Arabidopsis thaliana: one gene and its partner. The protein of the gene in region 2 purifies or fractionates together with the protein of the main gene of each other region. This does not show direct contact. Each region holds a gene or a part of one and is shown on either strand. Other genes may lie near its edges.

Region 1 (7,099 bases), about 16 Mb from region 2:
GTGTAAGGGTGTTGGCAGCTCTCATGGTTGGTGTAACTCCATCTGATGACGTATTGAACCACCATATTCCTGAGAATTTATCACTATCTTTCCAAGACCCGTCCAAAAAAGGGTGATATCCTAAATAAGAATCATTTTGTGAAATATCTCTCACTCGAGTTCGAGTTTCCGAATTTAAAAAACAACTAGTTTCCAAACTAAACTCAATATGGCCTACTTGCCACAATTGTGCCTCTTTTTCGTTAAGAGTAATATCTCTAAGGGATCTTTATCCACATTATCCTGAGACACCCAGTTCATATGATTTGAAAGCATGCTTTTGGTAACATTACTGTTAGCGGAAAAAGAGGATTGCTCCACATCATATAAACAGATATATATTTGCTTGAAAGTTGAAACAGGACTAGCAGTATCAAGGAGTTCTTGCAGAATTGTGTTTGTGGCTAAACCAACTTTTGGTAACATTTCAAACCCTCATTATTAAGCTCTTTAAGTATCCAATGAGGAGGGTACAGTTGATTAGACATAGACATACCTTGTAGTTTCTGAAGACGATTGGCTAGGAATCTAGGAAAATATGGCAACATGTTTTACTGGAAAGACAAGTCAACATGGAAGACGAGCATTTCTATCTTAAATCGACGAATCTCTTTCTTTTATGCCTTAGAGGCTGATAGAGGGTTATGCGAGTAAAACAGCTTATAAAAAAACGTGTCCACTTGACACAAAGTGAGTCAAAATGGAAACCACACTTTCAAAAGTGTCTGAATGTACATAACCCAACTATAAATGGGGATTAGATAGCTGGATATTTACTTTAAGAGTACACATGCTTTTTGTGTCTTTCTACAAGACACAAGATAGTTTACAGCAGGAACGTAATGTAACCCAGTCACAATTCGGAAACAGCCGATATCTAAAAGTCGTTAGCTTTCCTTCGCAGTTCGTTTAACTCATTCTCGATCTCTGAGTCTTTGAAAGGGTATCTCGTGCTTGCTGCAACAGTGCTTCTCCCTGGAGGAAGCTCTCCTTTCTGCTCCATATCATATAAACAGAGGATAACTATAAGATGTATGTTTCACAGACTCTTAACTCAGTGAAGTAAAATGTTAGTAGCAAAGTAGGCTATCGTCAAACATGAAACAAGACAGTAAGGTAAACATAGAAGTAATTTGAGTAGTTTGAATTGTTGATTTTAGTGAACCATCCCAAATTGCTGAACCCATTAGTCTCTTCGGACGGTAATTTGCAATATGGACATATGGTAGCTTGTGGATACAATATTTTCGCGAATGATGAGATTATAAACTCTACGGAACTAACAAGATGATTGACGTTTTACAAACCTTTGAGCTTCCAGACAATTCTTTCTTCAAGTCTGCAAGATCATCATCCACAGATGAAGTTTCAAGCATTTGAAACTGCAAGTCACAAAGAAATACACGTTAATGTCAAGATGGTTGCAGATATACAAGTTCTTCTCCTACCAACAAACAAACAGTAAACCAGATTAGACCATCCTATCAGTCGTAGAAGATATTAGATAAAGCAGCGAACCCTAATCAATGCAAGATTTTACCTCTGAAACAAATTTAAAAGAGAAAGAAAGATTCTTCTCCTCATAGAAATACCAAGACAAGAGATAGACAACCAACCTTCCCCTCGAGTTCATCGGTTCCAATCTGAGTTAGTGCATCTGCTTCAGACTCCATAGCCATAACTGTCAAGCACTTTCTAGATTTTAGTCTCTATCAGACTGAGCATTCATCAACAAGCAGAATGTGAAGTCTTTCACAACGAAAAATTACACGTTCGGAATTCTGATACTAGCAACTCAGAGATTTACAGAAAGAATAAGAGGGTATATCTGCACGGACTAACATTGATCAACCAGAACCTAAACGAATTGCTAGAAATAGCAATAAGAAAAAAGGTTATCCAGTGGCATTTCTCTCTTGTATCTAAACAAGCAAGGATTCCGCTAAGTTTATCCTTTACTCCGATGTCCCATTGCACACATTATATTACTGTTCTATTGTTTTGCATGAGGTAACTACAACACTAATTCCACATCCACGTTGCCCAGAATCTGAGCACTATTTCTAATGTAACCCTGTCGCCTAGGTGGCAAGTAGTACAAGCTAACATAGAGAAAGTAGTGGAATCTAAACTCACTTTCAAAGACTGAATGCTAATCCTAACTACAGGCCAAACTTCAAATTTAGAAAGGAATAATAGGACTAACTGGTATTGGTTGCGTATAGACAAGTTGGAGGATCAAGAGATCATACCTTTCTCCTCCATTTTCTCAAAAGCTGAAAGAGCACCGCTTGTATTTACTGTCCCTATCATCTCTTGCACTTTGGTTGCAGTCCTAGCAGGAATTAAAAAAAACAAATAGAGTTGGGACAATATATAAATCGACAAGAAACACTCTGTATGGACGAGCTTCCATAAATGATATAAAGAAGAGTATTAGGGAAATGATACAAACTTAGCAGTGCGAGCACGTGCAAGGAGCGTATCTTTCTTTGCTTTTGCCTCTTGTATCTTACTCTCCAAGAGCTGCAAATAAAAGGGGAAACAACAAAAAAATTACAGAACTCATTTTCTAAGAACCAAACTTCGCCCTAAGCAATTTCAGAAAATATAAGAATCATATGCTATGGAAATGGAAGAACTCTGAAAATACAGATACTAATCTAAAATATCTTCTACATTATGTCCATAGAGATACAATAGCTCCTTAGTACAAAACGTGAAGAGAGATACTTGGCATATGAATCTTATGACGGAGGTATTTAACTATGGTACTATCTCTAAACCATTCAAATTGTATGGTGGCATGACGAAAATTAATGTATACATGATTCTTTGTTTTATTGAGTAAATGCATGACGATAAATTCATTTAATCATAGCTCTAAAGATTCCAACAGTGTATAGTAAATCAAAATACAAAATATATAGATAAATATGGTGAAAACTAACCCTTGTATTTGAAACAAGATTGTCGACAACACCTTTTTGCTGATCTAGTTGAGTTTTCAAAGCAGTAGCGTTGTCCTGTTAAGAAAAAAGGTAATAACTTCAAAACCTAAAGTTCTAGTTTTTTTTTAAGGTAACTTTATAAAGTTAGAGAATGGATGTATTCAAGAGACTTCAGTAGTCGATAAGGTATCAGCAGGTAAAAGATAGTGAAAATTTACCTGCCTATTATTCGTTAGCCATTTGCAAAGGTTACACAAATACATAAATCAACAAAACTGAAAAAGAGCCATACGGTCTGTTGCTCAAACAAAAGCACATCAAAGATGATAGCCAAGATACTGATATGTAAAAAACACTGAAGAATCGTGTTTGGCTGTTTCCGAAATTCTACATAGAACCAAAATTTGATTTTGATTTTTTTTTCTGATACTGAAAGACAATAGTCAACATCCTAATATGTAGAAACACAGAAGGGTCGTTTTTGGCTGCATCTGTAGTGTTATATATATCCAAAATATCTTTTGTCACTGCAATCACCTTAACAAACTCAACAAACAATATATTTCAAAAGAGTACTATAAACACTGCCAAGCTCTATTGCATCAAAAAATGATTGGAAAAGGGGGCAAGTCCTGAGGAGAATTACAGAATACTTAGATATCTAAATTTTTCCATTTTACTTTCACCACCACCTAACTAAACCTTGCAGAAAACCAAGAGATCAGCCTCAAATCGCTCGATGCGCTAAACGATTAGGGTCTTTCATTTGTTGGAGTAAGCAAACTTAAGAAACAGAAAACTGGTGGACAAAAGAATGGATAGATATAACCTACAGCAAAAGACTTTCGTCGTTTAAGGGCCTCACGTGCAAGATCCTCATCTCCTTTTGCAAGAGCAAGTTGTGCTCTTTTGTACCTATTTAAACGTGTAACATGTAAGAATAATCAGCTCAGAGAAGAATTTAGGTATGGAAGCAAGGTCCACGCAAAAGCACACATACCAATCATCAGAAGACTGCTGTGCAGCTTTATATTTGTTCTGTAACTGCTTTTGTGATGCTAAAACCTTCAGACACGTTGATAATACACAAGTTAGCTAATCTCATAAATAGGGGCCAACCATGCTGTAGTAAAAAAATGAAGAAGAAAAATATCGTACAGGAAAATGTATAAAGTTTGTTCAAGAGTAAGAAGTGCACCTGTGCAGTGGCTTGACGCATCTTTGTCAAATCACTATTCATTTCAATGACAGTTTGCTCCAGGATTTTCTCCGGGTCTTCAAAAGAGCTTATGAGCGCATTTGCATATGACTTCGCTTATTAAAATGAAAAATAAACAAGAGAACTGATTAATGAACTCCAATGCATAATGACAGTCAAATACAGAATGAGAAAGGGTATAAGTACCTTGACCACTCTAGAAAATCGTTCAAAAAGATTCATAGTAGCACCATGACCATTGCACCTGAGTCTATTATCACAAGCTAATCTCAACACATTCACTCTCAGCGCTCCACCTTGTAAAAATAAACAATAATCTTTATTGAGTCTAACAATAAGTTCATGGAAACATCAAACCAACAACATAACTAAAAAGCAAGAGAACTAAATGTTAGACATGTGAAACAGTCAAAGCATACTGAAGTTATAGACACTGACTAAGAGTAACCTCATTTATACTAAATCAAGAAACACAAAATCGACAAATCATACACTAAAAAGCACAATCAATACCCAATTTTACTTCAATTCTCTCTCTGACTAATCACGTTACCCAATTTGAGCAAATAGCTGCACTATTTTCCTCCAAGCAATCCAAACAAGGCGCAAGCTAGTGAAATGAAGATAAAGCCAAACCCTAAAGCGAAGTAGAGAAGAAGGAGACGCACTTGAGTTACCGAAGAAAGATGTTCTGAGAGGGAGAATCCTGAGGGAACAAGGGCGATTAGAAGAAGTCGAAGGGGAAGAAGAAGCAGTAGGACGGAGAGGAGGGAATAATCCGGTAACAGGTGAAGCTTTGAGAGCCATTTCAATGGCGATTTCGACTCTTCTCCTTCTCTCGTCTTCTTTTGGCTTATTGGAGGATGTTTGTGGTCTCGGAGGCTACTCGGATGTTGTTCCCATTTTTCTTTCTCTATCCTACGTCGTTTTGGTCGATGAATAACATTGATTTTTTCATAAAACATATTTTATTGGAATTGAAAACGGAAATTACTCAAAGCTGAAGATCAGAACTCTTGAAAAGACAAAGCTGACAATGAAGATCATAATTCACTGATATTCTTTGATTCTTAATATGCAAGATACAGCTCCAAGAGAAGTTTACCGTCATGAATGTTTCACTTTAGTATAGATGTGAATGTCCAAATCCACCAAACAATCATGGAGTTCACAGTTCAATATTGATTGCATTGTTCATATGTAGTTGCTGGAATTTGCAAACTTACGTCAATGAACCATGTTTCCCAACTCACAATGTAAACTTTAGAATTGTTATTGACTTGGGAGACTTTCCCTTATAATACACGAGTAGATATCTCTTGAATTAACAAACACAGACGCATCCATCAAAATCCAAACACACATACACAGACTCTAAGGGACAATATAATGAATCAAAAGTAACGTAGCACTATTTATAAATACAACAACAAAAATGAAACTTGATAATGTTTTAATACAAACAAGAATCGAAGTTATTTTCAGCACATTGTTCGATTTTTTTCCTGAAAAAACGAAACCAGCTCAACATAACCCATTGAAACATTTCATGAAATACCTGGCAGGCAATACTTGGTAGCAGTGTCTAATTTGAGAGGACCACTGTGGAAGAAATGTCTTGGGCAGAGTCGAGTTGGGTTTGACCTGAAGAAAGAGAAGAAGAGTCGTTAAAAAGAGATCTTTGAATCTTGTTTAGTTCTTTGGCCACTTCCACCATCGTTGGAACTTCTTCACTAGGGCCGGTGCATCTCAGTGATAGCTTCAAGAAAGCTTTCATTTGACAACGCTCTTGTTCTGAAATTTGACCCATCTTTTCTATCATCTTTGAATCTGCAATCTCTTCCATTGGTCTGTCTTCCTTTAATGTTGAGAGCAAATTCCGAGCATGTCTTTTCATCAGACTGTCAAATCCATCTTCACTTTCTTCTTCTTCTCCTCGATAATGCTCGAAATAGTATTCGTATCCTAATAGAAGCCTATGACCCATAAAGATTCCAAAGGCAAAGACATCTGTTTTATCTGAGACTAGGCCACTCCTAACGTAATTATCAGCAAAGTAACTATATAATCCCACGTCTCTGTCAACCCGGACAAATGTTTCTCCTTCTGGGATTGAGACGCAGTGAGAGAAATCAGTCAGCTTGGCGACACCATCTTCATCCAATAAGATATTCCAATGAGACAAAATCCTATATACAAAGGGCCTAGGGAAGGCGGTGTGAAGGTAAGCTAAAGCAGTAGCGATATCTTCTGCTATCTTCATTCTCTTTTTCCATGGCTGTTCACTTATTTCTAATTTGTAATGTTTCTTAACACTATGATACACCATGACTGGATAATCTAACTCAAGACAACATCCAACCAACTTCATGAAGTTTTTGTGACCACTCACCATCGATGAAACTGCTATGTCGCGGCACAAACGATCTACTCTCAAGCCACTCCACCAGCCAACATCTTTCTTGATTAGTATCATGGGATGATTCTCGTTCTTACCAGAATACCATTTGAAGGGAACTTCTAATCGTAAAACAAAATTAGAGTCGCTGAAATCGTTGGTGGCTTTGAGGATCTCATCAGCAGAGAAGAATTTGATGGGATTGGATTTGCCATCGCAACATTCGATGAGCTCTTCTAACAACTTGGCCCCTCTCTCGGACGCTATATCGGATTTTGGCTTCTTCTTCTTCCTCAGCCAACCCATCTCAAAATCTAAGAATTAAGGGAAAGAAAGCTTTATTTGAAATCAAAATGAGCAAAGGATTCGAGACCTCACACAATGAGTTGCAAACGAGTACAATGTACTCAATTCTTGTTGAATTTTCAACATTACGTTCTTCAACGAAAATCAGAAAATAGGAATTTATTAGAGTTGCAAGGACTTTTAGGA
Region 2 (5,460 bases):
CATGTATAAATACTTCCTCATTTACAGTATGCAATTAGGGCGTTTGCAGAAGCTTTGGACTCTGTCCCTATGGCTCTTGCAGAGAACAGTGGATTACAGCCCATTGAGACACTCTCTGCGGTTAAATCTCAGCAAATTAAGGTTAGTAAACGACGAACTTTATTATCTATATCATTGACTTGCTTGTTCGGTGACTGAACAAACATTGGGTTTTGATGAACAGGAGAATATTCCCTTCTATGGAATAGATTGCAATGACGTGGGAACAAACGATATGAGGGAGCAAAATGTGTTTGAAACATTGATCGGGAAACAGCAACAAATTTTGCTAGCTACGCAAGTCGTTAAGATGATTCTAAAGATCGACGATGTCATCTCCAATTCTGAATACTGATTTGTTGCTACCTTTGTCCTAACCTTTGGCTTCTTCGGTGTTTTTTGTTTGCTTTCTATTAGCTTTTGATACCCTTCGACATCGTTATCCTTGACTTGTTCCCTTTGTTTTGCAACCTTCTATTTAAGAACATCGTCAGATCTTAATTTTTGTGTGTACTTGTCCACAGATCGAAGCACTCGTTTGCATTTTCTTTTCGATTTAGTAACTGATGCAGGTCTCATACTGTAGACTAAACTATTATCGTATTAGTGTAACACCAGTGAACGAGGACAAAAGTAATTGTTTGCTTGTACATAAGAACATAAGAAATATGAAACCAAGCTTCGAAGGCTTCAAATACCCATCTGCTATGGTCTTTGTACACAAAATCTAAACCCTGAAGACTAATGTTTCCCACTCTTAAGATCTATAAACTTCGAAATCTGTTGCAGAGGGACTACAAGGCCTGAGTACCAAGATTTCTCCTCGTCTTATTCAAATCTCAATTCCTCTTTGTTTGTTTGGCTTCGCCTTAAGACATGAAAACATGAGTCTTTACCTCTTCTCTGTTTCATGAGAATGCTGTTGTTCTGTATCATGGCCAATGCCGAATGTCCCATTCGTAGTCTCGTCCTTTTGAATGGATGGCTTCCCATTCACAGCTACTGTGCCATCGGATGTTTCATCCACAGCAGAAAGTTCTGTTTTTTTATCATCTTCAGCGACAATGGCTGTATCAGATTTTTCATCTTGTTCATGTGCTTTGTCTGTATTTTGATTAGATAGAGCTGCTTCAGCTTTCTGCCTCTCTTCTTTTTCTCGACGTCTCTTTGCTTCTTGCTCTTTCAGCAGCCTAAACCTGGGATCACATGGACGTGTTAGTACAAAAAAACAGCTTCTAGGAACGAATGATGACACATTTTAGAAGATTTGGTTACCTTTCACCAGGTTTGGGGCATTCTGGGGTCACCTTTTCACCACCCTTCTCTCTTGGTATTTTCAGTTCTGAAACAGACTTCTGAACTAGTGGTTCTGAAAAAGACTTCTCAATTTGTTGTGTTTTATCTTCCTTAGTGACCAAATTAGTGAATTTCTCCACTGGATTCTTAGCACCACCATATTTTTGAAGCCATACTTGCTGTGCCGTGCTCAAAATGTTGTTGGTCAGCCTGCAAAAACACTTTAAAACTGAGAAGAATAGCGAGTGGAAGCTGACCACTCACGAAAACCACAGAAAATTAGACTCACCAATAAAGACTTAAACCAGAAGGAACTGATAATGCAAAATAGCCAATCATCAGTGGAAGAAGCTTAGTCACTGCTTGTGAGCTCTTCATGGCTGGATCATTACTCTGACAAAAAATGATAAGAAACATAAATTTCTCTGTTGCATAGAAGGATTTCGTTGTTGATTGAATTATACTTTAATGGAATGAGCTTTCAGCACAGGCACCAATGTGGTACACATTTTCAACATAGACGTAACTACTAATAGACTATTATCACATATTCCACATGATGCTATACCTGCGAGGACTGCATAATTTGAATGGAGAGGTATTGAGAGAAGACGAGCAATAGAGGTAAGACAAGATATGCTAATGTGTCTGGCCATCCGAGAGGTGGGTGTCCCTCCTGAGAAATAAAATGGAAATTTGTAGACATCAGCGATGAGGTCCGACACCACTCCCCTCAAGTTTTCTTCAATAATTCATTTTAATCAGTTTTATATGCTTGAACAATTAAACTGAATAAGAGTTCGTAAGAACTATGAGTCTAGTCTAGATTCCATTTTCGAAATATCAAGTTTCAAATGATACTTACAATGAAAGGGAACAGCCATGAGATTCCACTGCCATTCTGTCTTGCAGCAACAGTCGTTGGACCAGCAAGAGAAGGTATCCAGAAAAAACCTTCCGTTAAGAGCCCCTAAAGTTAGAAACAAGCATCCAACTACTTGTCAAAAAAGAATCTCAAGGCACTTACAGATACAAAAGGATATAGTTATTTCCAGGTACCTCATCTGCAACATTTGAGAGGGCTCTATATAGCCCAATCCAGACAGGTATCGTGGCTAGTGTGGGGAGGCAGCCTAACAGATAAATGAAAATATAGCTTAACCATAAATGTTGTCTCAAATGGAAAAACATACGATAAGCTGAAGTAACATACTGTACCTGCAAGGGGATTTATTCCAGCAAGCTTATACAATCTAGCAGTTTCAAGCTGAATTTTCTCCTGCAAAGATAAACAAAAATAAAGAAGCTATTTGTTTAAACAAGAGGGCTATATTCATACATAGTAAAGCTATAATATTTGTTATATTCATTAGTATCCCTCCACAATTGTGGAACCAATAGCAACACACATGTTCTTACTTTTTCCTTAACTCCATCAACTAAGAATTGATGCAAACATAACTTAGTATAGCATCAGGACAAATAAAACCCATGTGTACAGTATAGAAGAATTGTTTTTCACCTGATCACCAGCATACCGTTCCTGAATAGCCTTTATTTGAGGCGTCAAAGATTTCATAGCCATGGCAGATTCAACCTGTAGAGAATAAACCACCAATTCAATAACATGGACTAAAAATGATATCATGGCTTAGCAGCAATAGAAACAAACTAAAAACCTGTTTTTTCGTCAATGGGAACGTAGCAGCCTTAACAAGCACAGTCAATAGAATGATAGCGAAACCATAGGAATAAGGAACATGTACAGTTGATAACCCATCTTTCAAAACCTGCAATCCAATTCAAAATCAATCATATAGCTACACAAAAATTCATTTCTTTCTAAACCAAAAAAGACAAAACTTTTAATACCTTGAGAATAGTTTCCATGTAATTAGCAATACCAGAGAACCAATCATTGCTCTGGGTCGTTTTGGTAGTAGTGCCGGCGACAGATTCAAAGGTTTCAGAGGACGAAACGGCGGCATCAGCGATCGTGTACAGCAGATTCTCGGCATGGTCCTTGATGAAATCAAAAGAATCTGGTCTGAACCCGAGTTGAGCTACGAGAGTCCGATAACGAGACGACGACGACGACGGTGTGTGGCTGAAACGGGAGCGGCGGAATTGGAGGACTTTGCCTGTGGAGAAAGAGGAGAGGATAAGGTGCGTCGGCTTTAGGGATATTGTTGAAGACATCTCTAGGGAGAAGAAGGAAGGAGAGTTTTAGGGTTTTGGTTGAGAAGACAAAATGGGGAAGATTTGGATTTTGTTGGCAGTATTGTTGTGTTGTTGTGTTCTTGCTTTGCGTCTCAGTGTGCGAGACCGACCGAACTGAGAAGTGGAGCAAACCAAATTTTGTTTTTCTGATTTTTTAAAACTAACAACACAAACTATATATCTCACCTTTTTTATTGACTTTTTCTAGGGTAAATATAACAACATAAACTATGGCTCCGAATGGTGACTGTGTTTTGCGATGCGGGAAAAGTGCAGTGCGGTTCAAATAATAACAAAAATACATAAATACATATATATATGTAAAAATTTTGATATTGTTACAACACTGTTACGATACGGTTTTGGATACGGTTTTAGTCACCATTCACAACCTATAAATCACTCGTTAACAACTATAACCAATTAAATTCTACAACGAAAAGTAACACTAATATCTATACCCGAACTTTGGTGGAGAAAACCATAGAGATAAACATTTCATGATTGTTAGTGATTTTTGTTTAAGTATAAAAATATGTGAAACATACGATGAAAAGACTGAAATAGTATAAATTACATCTAACAACCAATAAATCAGGAGAAAAAAAGAATAACATATATTGGAGGGTGATGAGTGATGATGGATCCGCATGTAGTAGATGTAAGTCGTCGTCATTGCCCAGCATTCACTACTGTTGCGTTTCCCATATTCACTTGTAAACTTATATTCTGTTTGAGTGGCACTGCAACCATAAATAAATATTTATATACATTAGTTAATTCAAATAAAAATTATAGTAGAAATTCAAATTAATAAGATTTATTGCAATAAGTTTATAAAAATAAAAATAAAAGGAGAATACGAACATTCTGATTCCGGGTGGCGCCTAGGTTTGATGAAATATTTCCAGACGCCCCAACCACCAGCTCCAAGACTTAACAAAGTCGGTAATGAAATTCCAAGAGGTAAAGCTAAGTTGCTGCTGCTTTTCTCCTCTCCTGATTTACCTGAAGAATCTTCATACACAAACACAAACGTACCACATATTAGACTCGAACCAACGATCTCATATCATTTGATAACAATAATAACATGATTATTAACATCCAAAGCTTCATAAATGTTTTTTTTTTATATATAAATGATATTGTTATACGACAAAAACTTTGAAAATAATCTCTAGAAATTGTCCCAAACTATATTAAGTGACTATTCTTCTAAAAGTCCTAATATGGAAAAAAACATCTTAATTAAAAAAAATATTGAGAACTGATATGCCTGCAGATTTTTCATCTTCACTAGCTTTGTTGGTTCCTCCATCTCCATTATTGCTTCCTCCTAAAATATCGTTCAAACGAAGAAAAGTGACTTATAATTTTAGTTTTCAGTTTAAGTCAATTTTCTTACGGAGCTAGTAATTTGGAGAGCATGTTTTTGACCAATCTATCTAGAAAAATGACGGCTCAAAGTCGGACTAAACCGCCTCCTAGTCGGCTATGTTTTACAATGAAAGTTTTTGGTTAAACACTTCCCATTCTTCTAACCTTTAAGCCTAGTTATGATCTTGCATGTTGATAAAAGGCAGTTGATCGTCAATAACTAGAAGCTAAATCTTGCATCCTAATTAATATACCCACACGAGTTCCTCCCTTTCAATTCAGTATCCATATATTTTAAAGAACCACTAGAGTAGAGTTACTTATATATATAGATTTATATATTAATATATAGATTGATATCTTTTCTACAAAACAAACCGTTTTCTTATTATTGTCAGAATTAGTAGCCTCTTCTATTCATTATTTATCTCAAACCAAAATTATTAAAATTAACCGTATTTTACAACATATATATAAGATAATGAAAAGAATAATTACCGGATTTGCCTCCACCACCGCCCTTGC

The links.
Region 1: the proteins of ALB4 (region 2) and PTAC4 purify together in Arabidopsis thaliana (affinity purification with western blotting, with the first as the bait; one study listed by BioGRID). This does not show direct contact.

What each region holds. Positions count from the first base shown.
Region 1 is NC_003070.9:24,234,246-24,241,344, reverse strand, and holds PTAC4 (plastid transcriptionally active 4), read right to left. Parts: upstream 5,258-7,099; 5' UTR 5,017-5,257; coding exon 4,878-5,016; exon of another isoform or gene 4,723-4,877; intron 4,506-4,722; coding exon 4,396-4,505; intron 4,300-4,395; coding exon 4,189-4,299; intron 4,056-4,188; coding exon 3,991-4,055; intron 3,906-3,990; coding exon 3,824-3,905; intron 3,066-3,823; coding exon 2,991-3,065; intron 2,566-2,990; coding exon 2,495-2,565; intron 2,375-2,494; coding exon 2,292-2,374; intron 1,721-2,291; coding exon 1,656-1,720; intron 1,422-1,655; coding exon 1,347-1,421; intron 1,034-1,346; coding exon 917-1,033; 3' UTR 617-916; downstream 1-616. Other genes in the region: AT1G65250 (Protein kinase superfamily protein), read right to left, coding at 5,795-6,913. UniProt on the Arabidopsis thaliana protein: Required for plastid vesicle formation and thylakoid membrane biogenesis, but not for functional assembly of thylakoid protein complexes.
Region 2 is NC_003070.9:8,680,438-8,685,897, reverse strand, and holds ALB4 (OxaA/YidC-like membrane insertion protein), read right to left. Parts: upstream 3,704-5,460; 5' UTR 3,535-3,703; coding exon 3,208-3,534; intron 3,126-3,207; coding exon 3,015-3,125; intron 2,933-3,014; coding exon 2,858-2,932; intron 2,615-2,857; coding exon 2,554-2,614; intron 2,469-2,553; coding exon 2,395-2,468; intron 2,306-2,394; coding exon 2,201-2,305; intron 2,012-2,200; coding exon 1,904-2,011; intron 1,729-1,903; coding exon 1,625-1,728; intron 1,546-1,624; coding exon 1,315-1,545; intron 1,236-1,314; coding exon 932-1,235; 3' UTR 627-931; downstream 1-626. Other genes in the region: AT1G24510 (TCP-1/cpn60 chaperonin family protein), read left to right, coding at 28-141, 224-394; AT1G24485 (ER protein carbohydrate-binding protein), read right to left, coding at 4,004-4,298, 4,419-4,572, 4,835-4,894, 5,434-5,460. UniProt on the Arabidopsis thaliana protein: Required for the insertion of some light harvesting chlorophyll-binding proteins (LHCP) into the chloroplast thylakoid membrane. Plays a role in the accumulation of some cytochrome b6f components in the thylakoid membrane.